Neodiprion lecontei: one gene and its partners. The protein of the gene in region 1 purifies or fractionates together with the protein of each later gene. This does not show direct contact. Links are inferred from orthologs where the notes say so. Each region holds a gene or a part of one and is shown in the gene's direction. Other genes may lie near its edges.

Evidence for each region.
Region 2: the proteins of succinate--CoA ligase [GDP-forming] subunit beta, mitochondrial (region 1) and iron-sulfur cluster co-chaperone protein HscB purify together in Homo sapiens (affinity purification with mass spectrometry; 3 studies listed by BioGRID and IntAct, with this or other methods). This does not show direct contact. The link is inferred for Neodiprion lecontei from reciprocal best matches to the Homo sapiens genes SUCLG2 and HSCB.
Region 3: the proteins of succinate--CoA ligase [GDP-forming] subunit beta, mitochondrial (region 1) and succinate--CoA ligase [ADP/GDP-forming] subunit alpha, mitochondrial fractionate together in Homo sapiens (co-fractionation; 6 studies listed by BioGRID and IntAct, counting the BioPlex papers as one, with this or other methods). This does not show direct contact. The link is inferred for Neodiprion lecontei from reciprocal best matches to the Homo sapiens genes SUCLG2 and SUCLG1.
Region 4: the proteins of succinate--CoA ligase [GDP-forming] subunit beta, mitochondrial (region 1) and succinate dehydrogenase [ubiquinone] flavoprotein subunit, mitochondrial fractionate together in Homo sapiens (co-fractionation; 3 studies listed by BioGRID, with this or other methods). This does not show direct contact. The link is inferred for Neodiprion lecontei from reciprocal best matches to the Homo sapiens genes SUCLG2 and SDHA.

The regions. Positions count from the first base shown.
Region 1 is NC_060264.1:36,036,617-36,042,150, forward strand, and holds succinate--CoA ligase [GDP-forming] subunit beta, mitochondrial, read left to right. Parts: upstream 1-1,789; 5' UTR 1,790-2,520; coding exon 2,521-2,722; intron 2,723-2,843; coding exon 2,844-2,943; intron 2,944-3,408; coding exon 3,409-4,004; intron 4,005-4,123; coding exon 4,124-4,258; intron 4,259-4,354; coding exon 4,355-4,483; intron 4,484-4,571; coding exon 4,572-4,684; 3' UTR 4,685-5,027; downstream 5,028-5,534. UniProt on the Homo sapiens protein: GTP-specific succinyl-CoA synthetase functions in the citric acid cycle (TCA), coupling the hydrolysis of succinyl-CoA to the synthesis of GTP and thus represents the only step of substrate-level phosphorylation in the TCA.
Region 2 is NC_060266.1:20,481,867-20,485,955, reverse strand, and holds iron-sulfur cluster co-chaperone protein HscB, read left to right. Parts: upstream 1-2,004; 5' UTR 2,005-2,138; coding exon 2,139-2,537; intron 2,538-2,617; coding exon 2,618-2,874; intron 2,875-2,986; coding exon 2,987-3,116; 3' UTR 3,117-3,588; downstream 3,589-4,089. Other genes in the region: protein disulfide-isomerase A3, read right to left, coding at 1-185, 291-522, 956-1,407; adenylate kinase isoenzyme 6, read right to left, coding at 3,940-4,089.
Region 3 is NC_060263.1:32,444,917-32,450,844, reverse strand, and holds succinate--CoA ligase [ADP/GDP-forming] subunit alpha, mitochondrial, read left to right. Parts: upstream 1-1,889; 5' UTR 1,890-2,001; coding exon 2,002-2,038; intron 2,039-3,048; coding exon 3,049-3,284; intron 3,285-3,530; coding exon 3,531-3,752; intron 3,753-3,862; coding exon 3,863-3,967; intron 3,968-4,100; coding exon 4,101-4,304; intron 4,305-4,620; coding exon of another isoform or gene 4,621-4,641; coding exon 4,642-4,776; intron 4,777-5,128; coding exon 5,129-5,215; 3' UTR 5,216-5,416; downstream 5,417-5,928. Other genes in the region: ribosome biogenesis protein BRX1 homolog, read right to left, coding at 1-205, 827-949. UniProt on the Homo sapiens protein: Succinyl-CoA synthetase functions in the citric acid cycle (TCA), coupling the hydrolysis of succinyl-CoA to the synthesis of either ATP or GTP and thus represents the only step of substrate-level phosphorylation in the TCA.
Region 4 is NC_060260.1:33,240,066-33,244,629, forward strand, and holds the start of succinate dehydrogenase [ubiquinone] flavoprotein subunit, mitochondrial, read left to right. Parts: upstream 1-1,545; 5' UTR 1,546-1,684; coding exon 1,685-1,744; intron 1,745-1,759; exon of another isoform or gene 1,760-3,273; intron 3,274-3,372; exon of another isoform or gene 3,373-3,782; intron 3,783-4,422; coding exon 4,423-4,564. Other genes in the region: succinate dehydrogenase [ubiquinone] flavoprotein subunit, mitochondrial, read left to right, coding at 184-294, 364-450. UniProt on the Homo sapiens protein: Flavoprotein (FP) subunit of succinate dehydrogenase (SDH) that is involved in complex II of the mitochondrial electron transport chain and is responsible for transferring electrons from succinate to ubiquinone (coenzyme Q).

The DNA.
Region 1 (5,534 bases):
AGAATAATGAGAATGAACTTTATTATTTTCTCACATCTTGAACAGCTATTTATAATCCCACACTCTTCTTGATGTCTTTTTCGCATTCCTAAGGGTCTAACTATTAAAGCAAAAGTCCTGCAAAACGAGTTTGAGACGAAAAGTTTCCGATATCTAAAAATCGCAAAAAAGCAAGGCTAACCCCTTTGGATTTTGTCAGTCGACATTTCGCTGATTTTGAAAAATGGTTGGATCAATTTTTTGTTGCACTTTATCGACGTAATTTTTCGAGAGGAATCGATTACGCGCAGTCCGTATATGCCTCCAGGTACTTCATCTGGCTTCTTCATTTTCTCTGTTTTTTCGCACTTCCAATTAACAGTCCTAGATTTTCCAATTCTTCGATTAAAAATATAATACAGAACCATTGACCTAACGACGTGCTTTTCGACGCGCGACATTTTGCCTTTGTGATGGTACCCATTTTCATGAGCGACTTTTCGCGCTGTCGGCGTGGCGCTTCAATTTGACGTCGGTGAAACTCCAGCATATTGCAATCATGAGTATGAAAACAACGTAATAAGTTCGAATTATTTAATTTGTGTACCGTAACTTTCGAACCATTGGTGCCTGGAATAAATTCTGGCACTTTTGAAAATAAGTGTAAGAACTTTCTTCGAGAAATCCTGACTATTTGACTATATTTTTTGTGACTGCAACTGGGGCATGGAACTTTTAAAGTCATATAGTACTCCTACCTTCACCGATCGAGCGAACTCACCTTTTTTCTTCCTTTGTTGAATAAACAAATGACCGGAAAGGGTTCAAATTTCACCGGTGTATTTTCCGAATTCCGAAAATCGTAAAAAAAATGTTCGGTTTTTGACACATGTTATTTTTTCCACATTTTCCGCATTTGAGGGATCAAAAAGTGCATAGCTGAGATACTTTGCGCAATTTCGGAAAGGATGAAGAGTAAAATGAGCCATTGTGAGACTGTTTTCATGCAATGTTGAGGTCGCTAGACGAGAACTAGGAATTACAATAATGTTGTAAATCAAAGGTGCTCTTACGATCAGCTGGGTGCACGGCCGAGCGTCCTTGCTTGGTTGTGCACTATGGGTTGTAAAATTTTTAGGGTTATCGAATGTTTCAGAATCTATTTAAGGGAGCGTTCTGAAATTTGAGCCAGCGCTCAAAACTCCCTAGGACAGAGGCAGAGCTACCCACGAACTCGGCAGCGCAAAAGAGATAAGAGATTGTTGCAAGCACTTTGTGTCTGTACATTCATTATTCTACAAATTGTATAGGTGAAGAATCAGCTGCAGTTTTGATTTTACTAGGCTTTGATTCTGCAACGTTATAATCACTGAAGGAAATCTTACGTGAAAACTATTACAAAGTTCGGGTTCAATACCAGATAAGTCGAAAGAACCACAAAAACTATCGCAATATTACATTGTGTATAATATTTGTCAATTTGAAATATTAATATCCAATGTAAACCCAATTTCCTTTCACTAATTTGAATCGAACTTCACAAAATATCCAACTAATGACCGTTTTAGACCTGCGCTTAAACTACATTCAAAGTACTGATTGATTTAAAAATAATAATCGGAGATGCTGAAGAAATAGATTACTTTTTTTTGATTAATTGATTCTTGATTTGATGCGTATTGAATCGATGCGATGTAAACATGTCCATTACTGTTGCCGCTCTTGCTCTCTTAGTCGGCAAAATGGAAGAGGGATTCAAGTAATTGCGCATGCGTGTTCAGTACCGGAGATGCATATGACATGTGATGAAACAGATGCTAAATGTGTAACCCTCGCTTTATACCACTTTATACACTACGAGTTCACGACATGATGTCTACGGTTCCCACAGACAACTTATCGGATGGTCCATATTTTCCCATTCCGTCAGCATACAGCCGATTATGCAGTTTGTGTTTGATTCCATCTTTTTTCACAACCATAACGTGTACATTGCTCTTTATTGATATTTTGTGTACATTGTAGTTTATGTAATAATGGACGATAATTATCTTCAGTGAATCACTGCGATACTGTATATAGTGTCCAGTCCCATCTGTAGTTAATAACCTGAATGCTTATTGAGTTCGGATGAGACATACAAACTGTTAATATTTCGAAAGTTTTAACACGTGTGCAATTATTAATACTAATAACACCCAATTGTCATGTTCATACAGATGAAATAAATATTTTATTTGATCGACGCAGCGTTTGGTCACTTCATTGTACAGCCCTATCCAGTCTCATAACCTAATTAATCTTATCGATCAGAGCACAGAGCGCCCATTGGGTATTGAGTGATTAACGTACTTTAATCATAATATTATTTTACTTATTTTTCTTCCGTATGCACGACTGGCAAGCTAAAGACAGTAGTAATTTTGGATCCGATTGTACCGACCAGTTTCTCAACCTAACCTTAAACCGTGTTAAAAGTATCTGAGTACTGTCTGCAGAGTATCGGTCGTTGAGAGAAGCCAAAGTGCTGAAGCGTTAAACATGTCGCGATTCCTTGTTCAAAGAGCCTCGCTCTTGGTTAATTCGTTCAAAAATGTATCACGGGTGTTTCTTATCCCTGTGAGGAATTTGAACCTTCTTGAATATCAGAGTAAATTACTACTAAGAGACAGCGGTGTGTCTGTACAAAATTTCGCTATAGTCGACGACTTGAAATATGCCCCAGAAGTCTTAAACAAATTCAGTAAGTATATGTATTTAAATATTAAGTCATGTTAGTATAACTTGCGAGCTTCAGAATGTCTCATATTTGCAACTGATCGGATCATACGTGCAAACGTTCAGTACATTTTTTTACGTTACAGATGCGGCTGAATACGTGGTAAAGGCTCAAATTCTGGCAGGAGGGAGGGGTAAAGGTCACTTTGATAATGGATTCAAGGGTGGTGTACACATCACTAAAGAGTAAGAGCAATTCTGCTAGAATAGAAAATAATCGATATTCTTGCGGAAAAACCTTCCCACAGATTACATTCGGCAAGAATAGTAAAATAGCATTCTTGGTTACATTGTTGGAATTTATGTTTCTTGATATTTCAAAATCTCGATTTATGATTTATAAACGTATAAACCATTTTATCAAGACCTCACAATATTCATAATTTCATCTACAGAGAAATTAGATATCCATTTAAATACCAATTGATTTTTGTTGTAATTTAATGTGACTCTTTGCTCGTGTACAATTTGTAATACAAAATAGTATCTTATATTTAGGTTCTTTAACCTTCATAGATTATGTTTGAGAATTGAATATTGCTAAGGGTTAGTTTCTTTGCTTCCAAATTGAAATTTATTTCGAGGATGAATTTGAAGCAAGAAACCCGGCTTTAAATTATAGGCGTAAAAATTCGTATGAAAACTTTGTAGACACGAGAAGCTTCTGGAAATTGTAAAGAACATGTTGGGGCATCGTTTAATAACAAAACAGACGCCCAAGGATGGGATTGTGGTGAATAAAGTGATGGTTGCCGAATCGGTTGACATCGTGAAGGAGACATACGTTTGTATTTTAATGGATAGGCAGCATAACGGTCCGGTATTGATAGCCTCTCCAGCAGGTGGAATGGACATTGAAGCGGTTGCTGAAAAAACGCCGGATTTAATAAAGACCATACCACTTGACATTTACGAGGGAATTACAGAGAGCATTGCCAAAGAAGTAGCAAATTTCTTAGGTTTTGGAGATAAGTTGTTGCTGGACAAAACTGTTGCTGAATTGAGGAATTTGTGGAAGTTGTTTGTTGACATAGATGCGCTGCAGATCGAGATAAATCCTTTGGTAGAAACCAAGGATAAGCAAATCATCGCTGTTGATGCTAAAATATCGTTTGACGACAACGCTCAGTACAGGCAGCAAGACATATTCTCTTTGGACGACGCTGGCGAAGATGATCCGAGAGAAGTAGAGGCGTCGAAGTTCAGCTTGAATTACATCGGAATGGACGGAAATATTGGATGCCTTGGTAATCTAGTTCTTCCCCGCATATTCCTACAAAAATTTTGATCGTTACCAGAACAATGTTTCTTGCTCACAATGTATTCGGATGCATTTATAATATCGCAATATGTGATTGACGTATAGTTAACGGAGCTGGGCTAGCCATGGCAACTATGGATATAATTAAGTTAAACGGGGGAACGCCAGCTAATTTCTTGGACGTTGGAGGTAGCGTTAAGGAAGATCAAGTATATCAAGCTTTCCGAATTCTCACCGAAGGTAAATAAATTCTACGTTGATTCTCGACTGCGAGATTATCATTTGACTAATGGAAACACTTCGAGAATGTTGTAATACTTTCGATATTAAATTCAGATGCCAAGGTGGAAGCTATTCTTGTCAACGTTTTCGGCGGTATAGTAAACTGCGCAACGATAGCCAATGGAATTGTGGGAGCGGCTCGCAATCTTGGCTTGAAAATCCCACTTGTGGTCAGATTGGAAGGTAATATTGTTGATCACCTCATTTTCGGACTATTTTAGAAAGGCACAGCGATTTTTGATGCAAACGAACTATTTTATTATGCAACTAGGTACGAATGTTATGGAAGCCAGAAAAATACTTGCGGAATCTGGGTTACCGATTCTTTCAGCTTCCGATCTGGATGAGGCTGCTAAAAAAGCCGTTGCGGCGATAAGACAATAGGCATAGCCGTCCACCATCGACGTTTATCGATAAATTTCCTTGTTCAAGACTGTGTAACTTGTACCTTTGCTCAATTATAGTAACATTTCACGTGGTGTACAATGCCGTAGCTGTACATACCTGTAATAAAATTATACCATGAATGATATATGTCGTTGTTTACGAAGTTGTAAGTGGTGTAATAATCGAAGAAGAGAATGGAAAAGTTTTATAATTAGTAGAGGAGTGTGAATACTGATAGTAGTGGTTAATCTATTCAGAATTTTCCATTGGATGCTGATATAGAAGCAATGATTTATACTGTAAATGCATTTTTATTGAAATAAAGTTTGCTTGAAAATGATTGAATTCTTTAATGAATGCATTTCAAGTTCCGATCAATTTCCAAGCTTTAGCTAACTACTCAACACAGCTGCAGATGTCCAATAAGTTTGGAGCTCAGTATTTCCGTCAAGGCCTTAATTTGAAACCTTTGGACTTGGGTGACTTTGTAGTCCAACCAATAAGCTGGAACCGATTCAGGAGAGGTAAACCAAACTTAGAGTAGAAATCGTTTATAAACATCGTCTAGCGAGCAGGGTTCAATAATTATATTCGAATGCCAAGTTAGGAGAAGGTTGAAACATGTACTGTATACGTGTGCGCGACTGATCTCGGACTCGCTACTAGCTTGCAGTCATTTCATTCATACCCATATAGGGCTTGTAATTTCCAACCGACTTTCGAAGCTAAGTAATGCCCTGGGGATCGACCGACACTCACGTCATCCGTCGCCCCCACCATAAGAAGATGATAAGTAAATGCTCTGCATGTCTAGTGGAATAAAAAACCATCCAACACTTTCGACAGA
Region 2 (4,089 bases), on another chromosome or scaffold:
GCGTTGGCACTTGTATGCGCGAACCTGACCTTCTCCCTCAGTTTCTTAGCAACAGTATGGAAGGCGGCTGACAAGGGTGAATCGTCCTTCTCAAAGTAACCGATCACTCCAACCTCGTCAGAATCCAAGAAGCCCTTCTGGCAGTCTTCGCCAGTCAATTCCTTGGAGGCAGGTCCAACTTGAGCCTACAAGACGACACAAAAACAGTGTAAAAGGAGGCTCAAAAATTTCAGGAATCAAATAAATATATTATTTGCATACCTTATTGTGGTTATTTTATTTAGTCATACCTTCATGTGCTTTGCGATACCAGGAGCTTCTCTTGGGCCGTTGTAATCGCCGACCATTTCATTTTTGGAAAATACCTTCAGCGTCGGATATCCGCTGACCGAGTATTTGTTGCAGGTGGTTTTACCCGCCTCTGTGCAGTCAACCTTGGCCAAAGTGATCGGCGGATCATTACCTTTGAGAAGTTCCGCCGCTTTGGCATATTCGGGCTTGAGGCGTTTGCAATGTCCGCACCTGTACGAATGCGAGAAATATGAACCATAATACATAATAAACTTAGAATAAAGCGAGACATAGAGATTCGTTGTGGCGAAGTTCAATATTAGATAACGGCATTCTGCACACAAAGAAGCAACGATTTCATGCGAGATAAGGAGGTTACGTGATTCTGAGAGAATACATCTCGACTTGAGAGTATATGTGCGTATGTATAAAATATTGTTGTCAACGCTACTAAGATTGGTGAATAATCATCGTCGCATATGTCCCGAAAACAGCGGCGAGTCCGTCTGACGTTTAACGTCACGTTCGAAAGGAGATAAGCGGTCTTTTCGACCGGGTGCCGGTGCTTCGGTAAGCTATGGGGCGGGTAGCGACTGTTCGAGATTTTCCGAATCCAAAGCCACGGAATAAAAAGTGAGGTAAATAACAAGCTTCGAATGCTTACCAAGGCGCGTAGAACATGACGAGTGAATTCTCATGGCGTTCCAACTCGTGGGAGAAATCGTCGTCCGTCAATTCGAGGACGTCCTCTTCGGCGGCGAAAGCGCCGAGAGCCAGAGACAGCAGGATTAAACTTCTGAACAGCATTTCGCGAGCTTGTCGACCCTCCGCTGGCGAAAATTGTCCTTCTGAAGTACAATGCTCGGGAATCGGAAGCAATCGGAAGACTAACGACTGACTGGAATCAACGACTGATAGACGGAACTGAAGGGAGAGGACGACGTGGCTCGCGTGGAGGCCGCTCAGAGCGAGGTACGACCTGCGCGTTGTCGCGAGCTGATTGGACGAATTTGAAAACACGCCGCCGGATCGCCCGCAATGGAAGCGCAGGAGGTGCTCGGAGTTTTCTTTTCTTATTCCCCGTTCATCGTTTCTCCCTCCCTTCTTCGTACTCATTCATCGGCAAATTACGTTTATTCGTTGTCAGCGCTTTCAGCATTTTTCGGCGGAATGCCAGACAAGTCTAGGTCCTCGTTTCTGAAATCGTAGATTAGGTTTGAACAATCGTTTGTCAGCTGTTAAGGCTTCTCTCTGGCTGTTATACGATTCATCGAACCGAAATCTATCCCGAAGATTTTCTTTTTTCTCGGAGTTTTCATTATTTAAATATCTTTCAAACAACATCGGTTCACTGGCTCACACGTAAAAATAAAAGCGAACTCTCGTCAATCATGAGGCTGAAGTTCGTAATGTTTACGTAGCAAAATGTTGGGGGGAAAAATTACTATTTTGCAAATTTATACAGTGACTTTGAGATAGTTAATATGGGTAAGCTTTCAAAATATCAATACATTTTGCCCTGTTGTGATTTACTGAATTTTAGACATTCCTGCAACTGCGAAATAACGATTTTCCAAAATGTTATTCATTACGATAATGTTACTAACTTCAACTTAATCGTCAATCAGCTACCGGCGATTCAAGTTCGACAAACAAATCAAAAGGATCTGATTCAATTTTACAAGTGAAACTGACCAATCGCATCGTCTCGTGTTTAGAATTCAATATGGCCGCCACTGTTCAGCGTAATGTCTTCTTTCCTTCCTCGCGTACTGCCGCATTGTAGTTTCGATGGTATTGTCAATCAGAAGAAATTCAGAATAACAAGAAAATTCTAATTCCGAGCTATGACTAGCCGTTCTTTAACGAACGGCATGAGGCTGCGATCCATTTGCCGTTGCCTTGCGACAAGAGGTTATGTCGGCGTATGTAATCGCCCGGATTTATGTACGAACGACAAATCGGGGCGTACAAATTTCGCAATTGCTAGTATTAGCGATGCGTCTCGTTGCTGCAGGAATTATTCGAGCGACTTACCCTCTAAATGTTGGAAATGCGACTTCCAGTACAAGTCAGATTTATTTTGCTCCAAGTGCAGGGCGCTACAGGAGCCGCCCGAGAATCTGAATTATTTTCAAATAATCGGCGTCAAACGGGATTACGACCTGAAGAGTGACGAAATCCATAAAAAGTACAGAGAATTACAACACTATTTGCATCCTGACAGGTTTAGCAATAGCACAGAGGTGATCGAGTGCTTTCACCGAATTTTCTGTTTTATTTCATCTTTACTGAGAAAACTGACCCATCTTTTCAATCCTCGCAGAAAGAGAAGGAATTATCGGAGAACCTATCGTCGCTTGTCAACAAGGCCTATAGTACGCTCTCACACCCTCTGAGCAGGGGTCTGTATATGTTGGCATTGGAGAAGTTGGAAATACCTGAGGGGACGACTACTTTAGATCCTGAATTTTTGATGACGGTGATGGAAAAAAACGAGGAGATCGAAGCGGCCACTGACAATGCTGAGAAAGTGATGAAATTGATCATGGAAAATAGGGAAATATTAGCCGATTACACCAGGTAATTTTGCACTTTGTTTGACAAGGATTATAAACGTATGGTTAAGGATTTCCTTCCGATCTTATTCAACACTTTTCATACTTCATTATTACTGCTTTTCTAATTTTTACAGACAAGTGTCAATCGCTTTTCGAGAGAAAAACATTGAGCTGGCTAAAAAACTTCTTGTCAAAATGAAGTACTATGCCAGTATGGAAGCAAGATTGAAAAATCTGAAAGAAAATCTAGGCATTGTTGAGTAGAATGACTATTGGAGCTAGACTATAAAGCATCTCGAAGCTAGAGGAACATAAATAGCAGAAAGCTTCTGTTCTGCATTCGTAATTAGTATTTCTCGGTTGATCGGTAATCTTGTTTACCTTATTTTACATTTCACAGACGGTTTCCCCTGTTCAAAGTCATCTCATAATTACGTAACACATAAGCTACACTTTCCTAACAATATTTTATCATTCCTAGACGTTCCTTTATAGACTTCCCTCAGATTGTCACTACAAAGCTCCACCAATATTCAATTTGTAAGCATGTCTTACAAGAATCAGACTGCACATCACTTAATTTATAGCTTCTGAGACTTTCGCTTCGACATCCTCGAAGCTATTTACTGAAGATTTAAATTCGAATGTATAGATAACGTGTACAAAAGTTGAAAAAGTCTTCTTCAGGGGCAGAGGATTCTGAAGATTGTAAATAAAATTATAGAATAGTCTTGGATGGATGCAATATGTAGTAATGATTCTCATCTTTCAATTAGACTTTATTTAATTTGAGTCTAGACTTGCAAGAAACTTCAGCAAGAATCAAAGCTGTAACACATTGACTCAATGCTTTGGGTTTAATAGGGTCAACTTCATTGCATGAAAGGTGATATATCGTTAGTAACCGTGTAAGTTTAGATGTGTATATAGCATCTTGCTGAAGTAGAAAAATTGTGATCAGAGCCAAGGATCTCTGATGATTGTAAATAAAATTATAGGATACTATTTGCTAGTTACATCATTGCGATAGTCTCAACAACTAGTACCTTGGGGGAAAACAATTTTTATGTTAAACAAAAATTTCGATTTATTTATTGTCAATTTTCCACTGCTCAAGCCACTGGCATATCCTGTTTACATTTTGCTCCATTTCTTCAGGTGTGTTGCTCTGCAATTCGTGAACTATTTCATCCCTATACGAGGCCTTGGCTTCCTCCAATATCGTCTGAAATATCTC
Region 3 (5,928 bases), on another chromosome or scaffold:
TTCGGCCCTCGAAAAGCATGGCTTTGTTGCAATTTTTCATTTCACACATCTCATTAATAACTTGCAAATTTTTGGATCGCTCCATTTTACTCTCTGGGCGATGGTGTGGCATAAGTCGTTTAATATCTTCCATTAGGTGACGATCTCTGTGGTTAATTCCCCGTGATGCGAATACTAGCACCCGTTGTTTGTTTATCCATCTCGTCTATCGAAACAAAAATGACTATTTAAAATAAATATTCTTCAAAGTATCTATTCACTCTAGAGTTAATCTTCACGAGGCACTCCAATTATTCCATAAGCCAAATGTTTATTTGTCCCGATTGTTTTGCAAAAAATTGAAATATCCAAAGTATTATTTCAGGCACGCTAAAGTTGTGTGGCAAAGGTTAGATTAAGTTCAGTTTCTGTTATACCGTTGCTAGAGTTTTAATAAATGATTATACTCTAGCACTGTCCAAAACTGAAACACACACACGAAAGATGCGAAGTATGTTGTCGGTGTCTGTCACCCTCAGTGAATGTTTTTAAACAAATCATACTCACGTAAAAAATGGTATGGCTTGAAAACTTGTTCGGACACTCTAATTCATTCCAAAAAATTCAAGAGATCCGAACATTTGGCATATTTGGAGTGTCCTGTGTAGGTTCACTTTGTAGTGCGAATAGACGCGGCGACTATTCTTTCCGTGAAAAAGGTGTAAATTAGCAATAAGGTGGACTGGGAATGGAGAATTTCTGTCTTGAGAGAAATGTGAGCTGCGTGATTGCAGTTTGTCTGTACACCTGTAATACAGTAACTGACGAGGTTAGAATATAAAATAACCTTTTTCGGCGCAGGTTCATCGGACGATCGTTTCGATGGCGGGAACTTCACCACTTCTTCGGTTTCAACATTTTTAGCCTTCTCACTCTCCTTACGCTTCCTTTTTACACTTTTCTTTACCATTTTTGCTATGAAACCAGTTCACTCAGGAAACCGTGTTACCAAAATGTGAGGTTAACACGTGCGGCACGCGGCGAGCCTTCACCACCAAAATATATTATAGGCATGTGTAACTGAACGTGCATCACCCATAGGCTTACAGAGAGATTGACCAGGAGCAGCCCTCTGACACTCACCACTGCTCGTATACTAAAAAAATTGTACGCGTCTTGTCCCCGTTTTTTAGTTCCTCTACGTGGCGCTAGTAGTAGACTTCTGACACGCTCGCTGCCCTCGCTGACCGCGCGCAAGCTCGTCAGGTAACTACTAGCGCCACTATTGGTGGAAATTAACAGCAGAATCGAGGAACATTTTGCGAACCCCTTTTAGCACCGTGTGTCAGGGGACCGACCAGGAGGTAGACTGCGGGTTTGCATATGGTTTGTGTGCCTATAGAATTGCGTGAACGGCTCCCACTGATAGACGCTACCGAATCGCTAACACGGCTTGTTGTGACTCTCAGCCGTGAAGTGCTAGCCATAAAAATTTGCGCCGAGGGATATAAGCCGTCTTTAAATCCTTCCGTCACCATTCAACGTCTTATCGTATGCATTAAAATTGTTCAATATTAATTATCGACGTCTGGTAGGATTAGAAGATCTGTTGCGGTTGTATCTCTGTGAATATGAGCAAAGTACGCTCATATCGTGCTATGAAAGTATAAAATTTTCATATTCGATACGCGCATGTGGTTCACCATTAAAAATCCAAAAACTGCTAAAATTGTGTTGGTTAAAACGACTAACTAGTACGTACTAGTATTATAGTTAGCCAATTTACCTATATATAGCTTATAGTTGGCGGATAAAGGCAGCGCCTCTACATCGTAGCAAGCAGCACTGCTTCGCGTTGAACGCTTTTAACCGTGTGTTGAGTCGCTTCATTCGGTTTGTTCACCAAGGATATATCATGGTAGTAGGAATCGTAGATATTAAGGAGTAGGCTGTCTGTCCCCGTCCATGGTGTCAAGTCCGTAGTTCGTTCTGAAATTAATTTTTCTCGACAAATTTATTAAAATGGCTGCGGCTGTTAGGAATCTATCAAAAATCACAGGTCGGTAATTTAAACATTGATACAATGAAAATATCACAAGTCGTACCGCAAGCAAAATGTATTCCGGAATAAATTAAGCCCCGTATATCGTTATGCAGTCGCACCTGCATAGACCCCGTTTTATTTTAACCCTACGAATGCTGTTCGCTCTTGACCCAGATGGCTCAAATCAAAAGAGACAATTGTCTCGTGTACATTATGTAATCTAACCCACATTTTTGCTTCTATCAAATTGCTCAATAATCCTTTCAATTGCTTGACAATCTCCTAAGATCGAATCACTAATTAATAAGTCAAGTGCCATTGGCAGATAAGTCAGATTCATGCTTTCGTGACCGGACTGTGGATAATTTCATGATATACATTAATCCTTTCGGTATTTCTTCCCTCAAGAGGTCGACATCCAATTACCCTATTAATACTTGTTTCGTCCTACTGCGTCCGTTGTATGCTTAACATGTCAACTTAAATAATGATAAATTTTCTGTAGAACGCAAAAAATTCATCATTTTAAGCAACAATTTGTAATGTTGTTTCATAGAGTGAACCAATAGTCATTTATTCTTGTGGTATAAGATACTGTTCATAGAAATAACAAATTCAAATATTTCTGATTCCCAGGAATGAGTATTTATATGACATTGATTTTATTGATACCATTGTAATTGCATCTAAGAATGTGTTAATCATTGTAATTAAACTACATGAAAAAAAAATTTCCATTTTATTTTACCTATTTTTAAACTTTATTATGTCTATCTATTCTATTCCGGCCTATAATCTTTGGAACAAGTATACTTGAATCGTGAGAAGCATAACCTTTAAGGTAGTTGAGTAAATTTCATTATCTTCTGTTTGCATTGACGGTGCTATTTGTGACATATGGCTCTTAGAATTAGAGCTTATTAGCGTTACAGAGAATTTGGATTAGATATTTCAAGGAATGGTCCAATATTGATACAGCATTGCATAGTAGAAATATAACTAATTTTGAATGATTTTTGCTTTAGTGGGAGGTCGAAGCAGCTTGCTCCGTGCCCAAGTAAGATTCAACTACACGGACACGAGGAAAAACCTGAAAATAAACTCAAATACCAAAGTCATATGCCAGGGATTTACAGGCAAACAAGGAACATTTCATTGTCAACAAGCACTTGATTATGGGACCAAAATTGTGGGTGGTGTCAATCCCAAAAAACCTGGAACAGAGCACTTGGGCAAGCCTGTATTTAAAACTGTCAAAGAGGTTCGTTCTATTTTTTTTTTTTTTTTTTTATTCCCACATCGATAAAAATATGGATAAACTCAAGCGACAATCTCAAGAATGAAACCTTTCAACACCAAAGTTCCTGTCTTAATTTTGAACATATTCTCATTCTATATATCCTAGCATACCCAGAGTGAGATTGAAAATCAAAAAATTCCCTTTGAAATTTGACATTTAATCTTGAAGCATGTTATTATATATTTATTTAGTTTATGTATTTTATAGGCCAAAGAAGCTACAGGCGCAACGGCTTCGGTGATTTATGTTCCACCACCCGGCGCAGCAGCAGCAGTTATGGAAGCCTTGGATGCAGAAATGCCTCTAATTGTCTGTATCACTGAAGGTGTGCCTCAGCACGATATGGTAAAAGTGAAGAGGCGTCTTCTTGAACAGAACAAGTCTCGCCTTATAGGACCCAACTGTCCAGGAATCATTGCTCCAGAACAGGTAAATTTTTATGTTTCTTTCATTATCTTCAGTGACAAATGTATTGCTCTAGTATCTTCATACGTAAAAACCGTAAAGAGCTTAATTACCTATTTCTTTTCCAATATCAGTGTAAAATTGGGATCATGCCTGGACATATCCATCAAAAAGGAAAGATTGGTATTGTCTCGAGATCCGGGACTCTGACTTACGAAGCTGTAAATCAGACAACTCTGGTGAGTCACATGAATCAAAAGTATTTTAGTAATTCTGCTTGAGAAAAAACGTACATGGTGACACATGAATAATTCTGAGATACTTTGGCCATAAATCAGGTTTTAATGAATCAATTTTCTTCGCATTATTAAGGCTGGGCTAGGGCAAACTCTGTGCGTTGGTATCGGCGGAGATCCCTTCAATGGTACAGACTTCATTGACTGTTTAGAAGTATTCTTACAAGATCCAGAATGCGAAGGCATAGTGATGATCGGAGAAATCGGGGGTAGCGCTGAAGAGTTGGCTGCTGAATACCTCATGGAACATAACACTGTCGGTTGCTGTTCTGAATTATTGGTATCCATGACCCGCCATTATGCCTAATCCATCCTTATCCTATTCCAGACCTAATCATGAAGTGATACCCATATATCCCGCATGGTTTTTTCTATAAGTTACGATCCTACCTTGCTGAATTCAAAAAGTTTTAAGATATGTTGATGCTGACTTTCCATACTTAATTGATTTATTTATTAAAGATTAGACTTTAGACAAAACAATGTTCACTAACGTTGCACTTTGCAATCAATACTTTTCACTTTTAGAACGGAAAAAAAGAATCTTACACCCTAATCGCAGCTAAATGTAGAGAATAATTTTTGTAATTTCATAGATTCAATTTGTTCCACTGTAGGGTGGAAAGGCTAAGCCGGTTGTATCTTTTATTGCCGGATTGACGGCTCCTCCTGGTCGTCGAATGGGTCATGCTGGTGCCATTATCTCAGGCGGTAAAGGTGGCGCTCAAGACAAAATTAACGCTCTTGAAAAGGTAATGTAGATTGTTTTAGTACATTTTCATTGCAATTGGTTTTGCTGAGATTATTCATTACACATGATTCCCAAGTACAGAATTAATCCTTAGGCCGCAGTATACTGACGAAACTATAGTCAAATAATATAAATGTGGGTTATTTGAATATACATTAAAATCACTGGCGGTCTAAAGGTTAAATTCAGAATCAGAACTTACTGCACTGATATTACATATCTTAGAAATACATATCAGTAATACTTTTACTAAAAATTTCCTTGAGAGGCAGATATCACTTCTTACTTTTTTTTTTTACACCAGATAACAGTAGAGAGAAAAACAAAGGGGTCATTTATCGTATTATTTCCAGGCCGGAGTGATTGTAACGAGAAGCCCCGCCCAAATGGGTAATGAACTGCTGAAGGAGATGACTCGTCTTGGTCTTGTCTGTAACTAAACGGAAAATGTCATGTGTGTTATACGTACCTATCGTAGCCTCTGGTATACATGTGTCATATGGAAGTTACATACTACAGACGAAAACTACACCGAGTTGTGGGTGGTACACATTAGATGAAAAATTACTGTAGAAATTATGGAAAAACAAAACAAAGAGAGAAAAAAAACAGATAATAATAAACTTTCTTGATCGGTTTGACCTTGTGGTATTCATCATATTAACTCAATTTATCCATCGAATTCAAAGCCGCATACATAATAACCTTCTTTAAATACGCACGTTAAATTTCATTCGATATTATTATTCCATGGCCAAAATGGAACAATATTTTTGTTTTAACGTTATGAATAATTGCGTAATTTTTTCTATGTGTGCCGATTGGTTTAAGGAATTCTATACATTTGTATAAGTTTTCGAAAGCAGATTAATGATTGCGATATAACGTCTACTTATGTACAGACACATTGCCATTTTGTCTTGTAATGACGGGATTAGTGTACGTTTATATTTGTTAACTTGTCCCTATAAGTAAAAAACAAGTTACATGTATAAGCTTGCGAGACATGACTATTCTCTATTGATCGATAATTATTTATGTACAGAGAAGTCACTGCTGTAAATTATGTTAATTAAAAATTCAATTGTATCTGTTTTATCAAATTTAAGTATTTATTGATATACATGCTATATACATACGTTACTTCATCCAA
Region 4 (4,564 bases), on another chromosome or scaffold:
ATCTACAATACAAATCGATCGTCATTATTAAGTCAATTAATTTTTGTAGGCCGATGAAATAACTTGAATTTCACAGGTGATTCTAGAATTTTCAATCCGCGCACGATGAACGAAGCAAAAGCTGTATTTCCAACAGTGAATGTTTACAACGCCTTACAAGTAAAATTCATTGATTTATTGCAGGAACGAATCGACGAGTACGATTACTCCAAGCCCTTGGAGGGGCAGAAAAAACTTCCTATTGAGAAACATTGGCGCAAACATACTCTGACTTGGGCCCAGGACGACGGTTCTGTGAGTGCACTGCATCGTCCGAGTAATTAACAAGATGAAGCCAGATATTTACGTATATTTACTTTTCAGATATGCATTACCTACCGGCCGGTAATTGACACTACTCTGGACGAGAGTGAAGCGGAACATGTGCCACCAGCAGTACGTAGTTACTAACAAGGTTGGCGTTAACCCGGCATAAGGTCTAGATATGCATATACATAGTTGCATAAACCGGTTCAGATTAACTGATGATAAATCAAAAAAGTGCAACTGATAATCAACTCGTTCCAAGATTCTAAGGAGTATACGTGTGAATGCAGGTTGATAAACTATATACGAGTAAATAATTTCCAGTTGTACCTATACCGCGTTTTAGTTTGTCCTTGGTACGTATTGTACCTACTATGCTTTTTCCCCGTGTTGACTTTACGGTCATAATTCGTGGTGTAACAAAATGAATTCCTTTCACAATTCGATAGTTTATTCTTGTCGCTTACTTACGTTTCGTAGAATTTCACCTATACCTACTTTTTATATAAATAAAAACATGCACGTATATCTCGAGTGTCGTATCAGGAAAGTGGTATAAGCGTGAGTAAACAACTGCAACTTGTACCGGATGGAAAAATATTATTCACAGACATCATGTTTACACGTATTTATTTTATTCATACGATTGTTTAAATCGATCGAGCTTATGAATATTCAAATAAAATTCGTTGGTTTATACTGTCTTTAAACTTAACTCCCTGGATTTTACGGTAATGCGAGAAGTTAGTAAGACAAAAGCGTAAGTAAAATACACAACCCAAACTATATTATGTTCGCTTCAAATTCGACACATTGAATACCGAGTCGGCGCTATTTTTAACCCGTGTTGGCGTGTGCCGTCCGAAAATGAAACGCCGTGGTACGAACCGAAAAGAAGACGAGAATTCGATTCCCTGTTAGGTTTTAGTCGAATACCATGTTTCCTCAACATTTATCACAGCAGGTCGTTCTCGGTGATTGTATTTTCCTGTAACTGGCTGGCGCGTACGGCGCTGGCGCGAACGTCGGTTATAAGTTTGCGGTATGGGGCTTGGAACGAAGAACGTAACGTTAGATCTTTGCTGCAATAATGCTTCGACGAATTACAAAGCATCGATATCTAGCTGCGGTAAATCAGCGTTTGGAAAAAGAGAGGAAAATTGCAACAAACAGTGAACTACCCCGATATATAATATATTGCAATGCGTATTTTTCCCCTCTGTAACGTTGGCCCCACTGGCCTGACCGACGTCGCCGACTCAGGTTCAGTGTTCACGACGCCGTACGAGAGGTGCGCGAGTGTACTGCTCGTGCGTTAATATTTTGGTAGTAAAAAAGGGGATCGAAATTTGGATTAACACCCCCTGGCAGGTCCAAGATGAGCATAATGTTGAAAGTACCGGGAATTATCGCGAGGAATCTGCCCTCGGCGACTCTAGTAAGTATTTCTTTAAGTTATATAATTTTCGTCGAAGCGTATCGTCGAACCGCTAATTCATCGCACCTTTAGTGTACGATGAGATCTGCTTTCCATTACGTAAGTGTCGACCCTGTCGTCATTTGTTTTTCCCAAAGTGAGTGAAATTGGGTATTTTCTCCAAGTGTCGCAACTATTGTGCAATTTCAAGTTATCTGTACAGATTGCTTTTCGACTAGCGAAACGGTCTAAAAATACACCCCATTTTTGCCAGTTTCCTTGCTTGTCGGTTTTTTTCATACGAACATCATATCAATTAGAGTTAATTATCAACTTATTTTCTTCGCGGCACATGATCATCTGTCTTGTTTTTTTGTCCTGGTATATCCCCCAAAATGCGATAACACTCACGACGCTTGACAGCTGCCAGAGCACATATAGCCCAGATTCCTACACGCGATCAGGCTTCATTTGCTCATTAGCAATGTAGTCGGGTTTATTCTATCTCCGGGATTAATTGCTTAGCGTAAACAACTAATTCTGTATCAAGTCAACAACAGTTTTCACGGAAAGTTCCACCGTTTTAAATTGCTTTTACCGTAATAACGTATAGGCACGATACGGCTTACACTGCTCGCAATGATTTTCTGATTACGTCGAAACAGGACGTAACCAATTCGCATATTTGTGTGTTGGACGGTTTAACCTATTCGCAAATTTACAAGGTGCAGGGAATATCGACCTAAATAGAACTATGACGGAAGCGAAATCGCCAGCGGCAAACTGCTCAGCTTTTAGTTAAGATATTCTCACAAGCTTTGCTAAATTAGTTTTAACGTCTTATTCAATGAAGCGTGCGAATATTTTTCTTTGTACTTGTATGACTACCGCATGATCAAAAATAATGGCCAATTTACACCGTATGTAACGGCCGGTGAACAAAGCTTTAGATGTAGCTTTCCGTTTTCTTAACCGCTACAGGTGGCAGCACTGGTCGGCTGGAAAAGTGGTTGGAATTGAAAACAAATCAATTTCACGAGCATCGTAAAATTGATAGAAGAGTGCATGTTCTTATCTCATTTTTACTTTTATTTCTACTGTCATATGTATACATGAATCTGACGTACCTTGCGTGTGTGCTCTTGCTCATTATTATATAAGTTTAATTCTTCAATTCTGATAGGTGATTTCCGGTAACCACCCAATTCGTTTGTCACGCTATCCCCCTCTTTAATTTCATTTGATTGTTAGAACATTCCAGATAGAAAAAAGCCGAGACGTAGGAAGTAGATTATAAATAAGTACAAATTATATACAAGTATTGTATATTATATGGGATATTAGATAATTAATTCTGGGTTGTTGCAAGCAAATCGCAAAGATCGACAGAGGCGAGGACTATCAATATTTTGGTCTAATGAATACTATGAGCAGTTTTATTCTACTCGTCTCTGGTTGTATTCTGCTGGCAAAACGTAACGACACTTGTCACCTAACCTAACTTAATTTAACAAACTGATATCGCATCCTTAGTTTAGATAAGGTTGAAGGTACTTATAAGCTAAATATAAATCACAGCTAGACTTCTTGAATTGTGATCGCTTAGTTTCGGACGAACCATGAATAATCTTTTAATTTGTTCTTTTCAGCTTATAACTGCTTTTATGAAATTCCAGCAATGCTTACAATTCAAAGTAGAAGCTATTTTTGGGATGGCTATCTAGTAATTGCATCACGAAATCGACGATAACTCGTGCAAATATATTATCAATTAGCAAGAAATGATTTTAGTATTGTTTCATTAATTGCACTAGAAAATTGTAATTGAACTGCATGAATCATTATAGCTATGAAGAAATTGAGAAAATTATAGAATGTATATTAAAACAGAATTCGATCGGCAAAGTTTTGGAGAACGAAGTATAAGATTAAATCTTTTCAACACATTTAAATATTTAAACTTGACGCTAAATCTGAAATACTAAGAACTGTATTTTTTGTTACATTGTGAAAAGTATGTTATGTATCATCACTATGAATAAAGATGTGCTGAAAATTTTAATTTTTTTATCTCTCTCTCTCTCTGTTTTTCTCAAATCAAAGTTGTAAACATGGAGAAAAGTATTTACTGATCCAGCAAAAAAATTTAATACGTTTCATTTAGAATACCTCAAATTTTACACTTTTAGTAACTTTTTCATTGACGAATCTACTTTTATGCTGAATCGGTGTGGTCGTTAAATATTTCACTATCAATTCATCATATATCAGCTATACTTGGGCAAGGTTTCCTGTAGTTTTCATTGTTTCTTGTGTGAATGCGGGTGTTTCTATTGAACATCTTAAGACAACTGTAGACACATAACGACGGTCACTAATCCATCACTTTCCTTACCCCATATAAGTTTAGCGACTCCTGGAGACATATCCTATTGGGTATGTCTGCTGTAGGTAGCAATTATTATTATTAATCATCATAGTTTTCATTGTGTCAGTGAACATGATGTAGTTGAATTTTCCAGGAAGACTAATCTATATAAATATTCACTGTGACACCTTATTCTGTTTCTATTAATTCTGATGTCATGTTATACCAAAGTTCTCCAAATTCTTGAACGATCAAGTAATAAGTTGAATAAAAAATTAGTAATTACATAAATGTTACACCCTCCATAATCATTAAGAATGCAATATTTCAGAGAAAGATCGGCCTGCCTTCACTTTCGAGCCGCAAATTTCATTACACACCTGATGGTAAAGCGGCCAAAGTATCTGATGCCATTTCCAAGCAGTATCCAATAGTGGACCATACTTATGATGCTGTTGTGGTTGGTGCTGGTG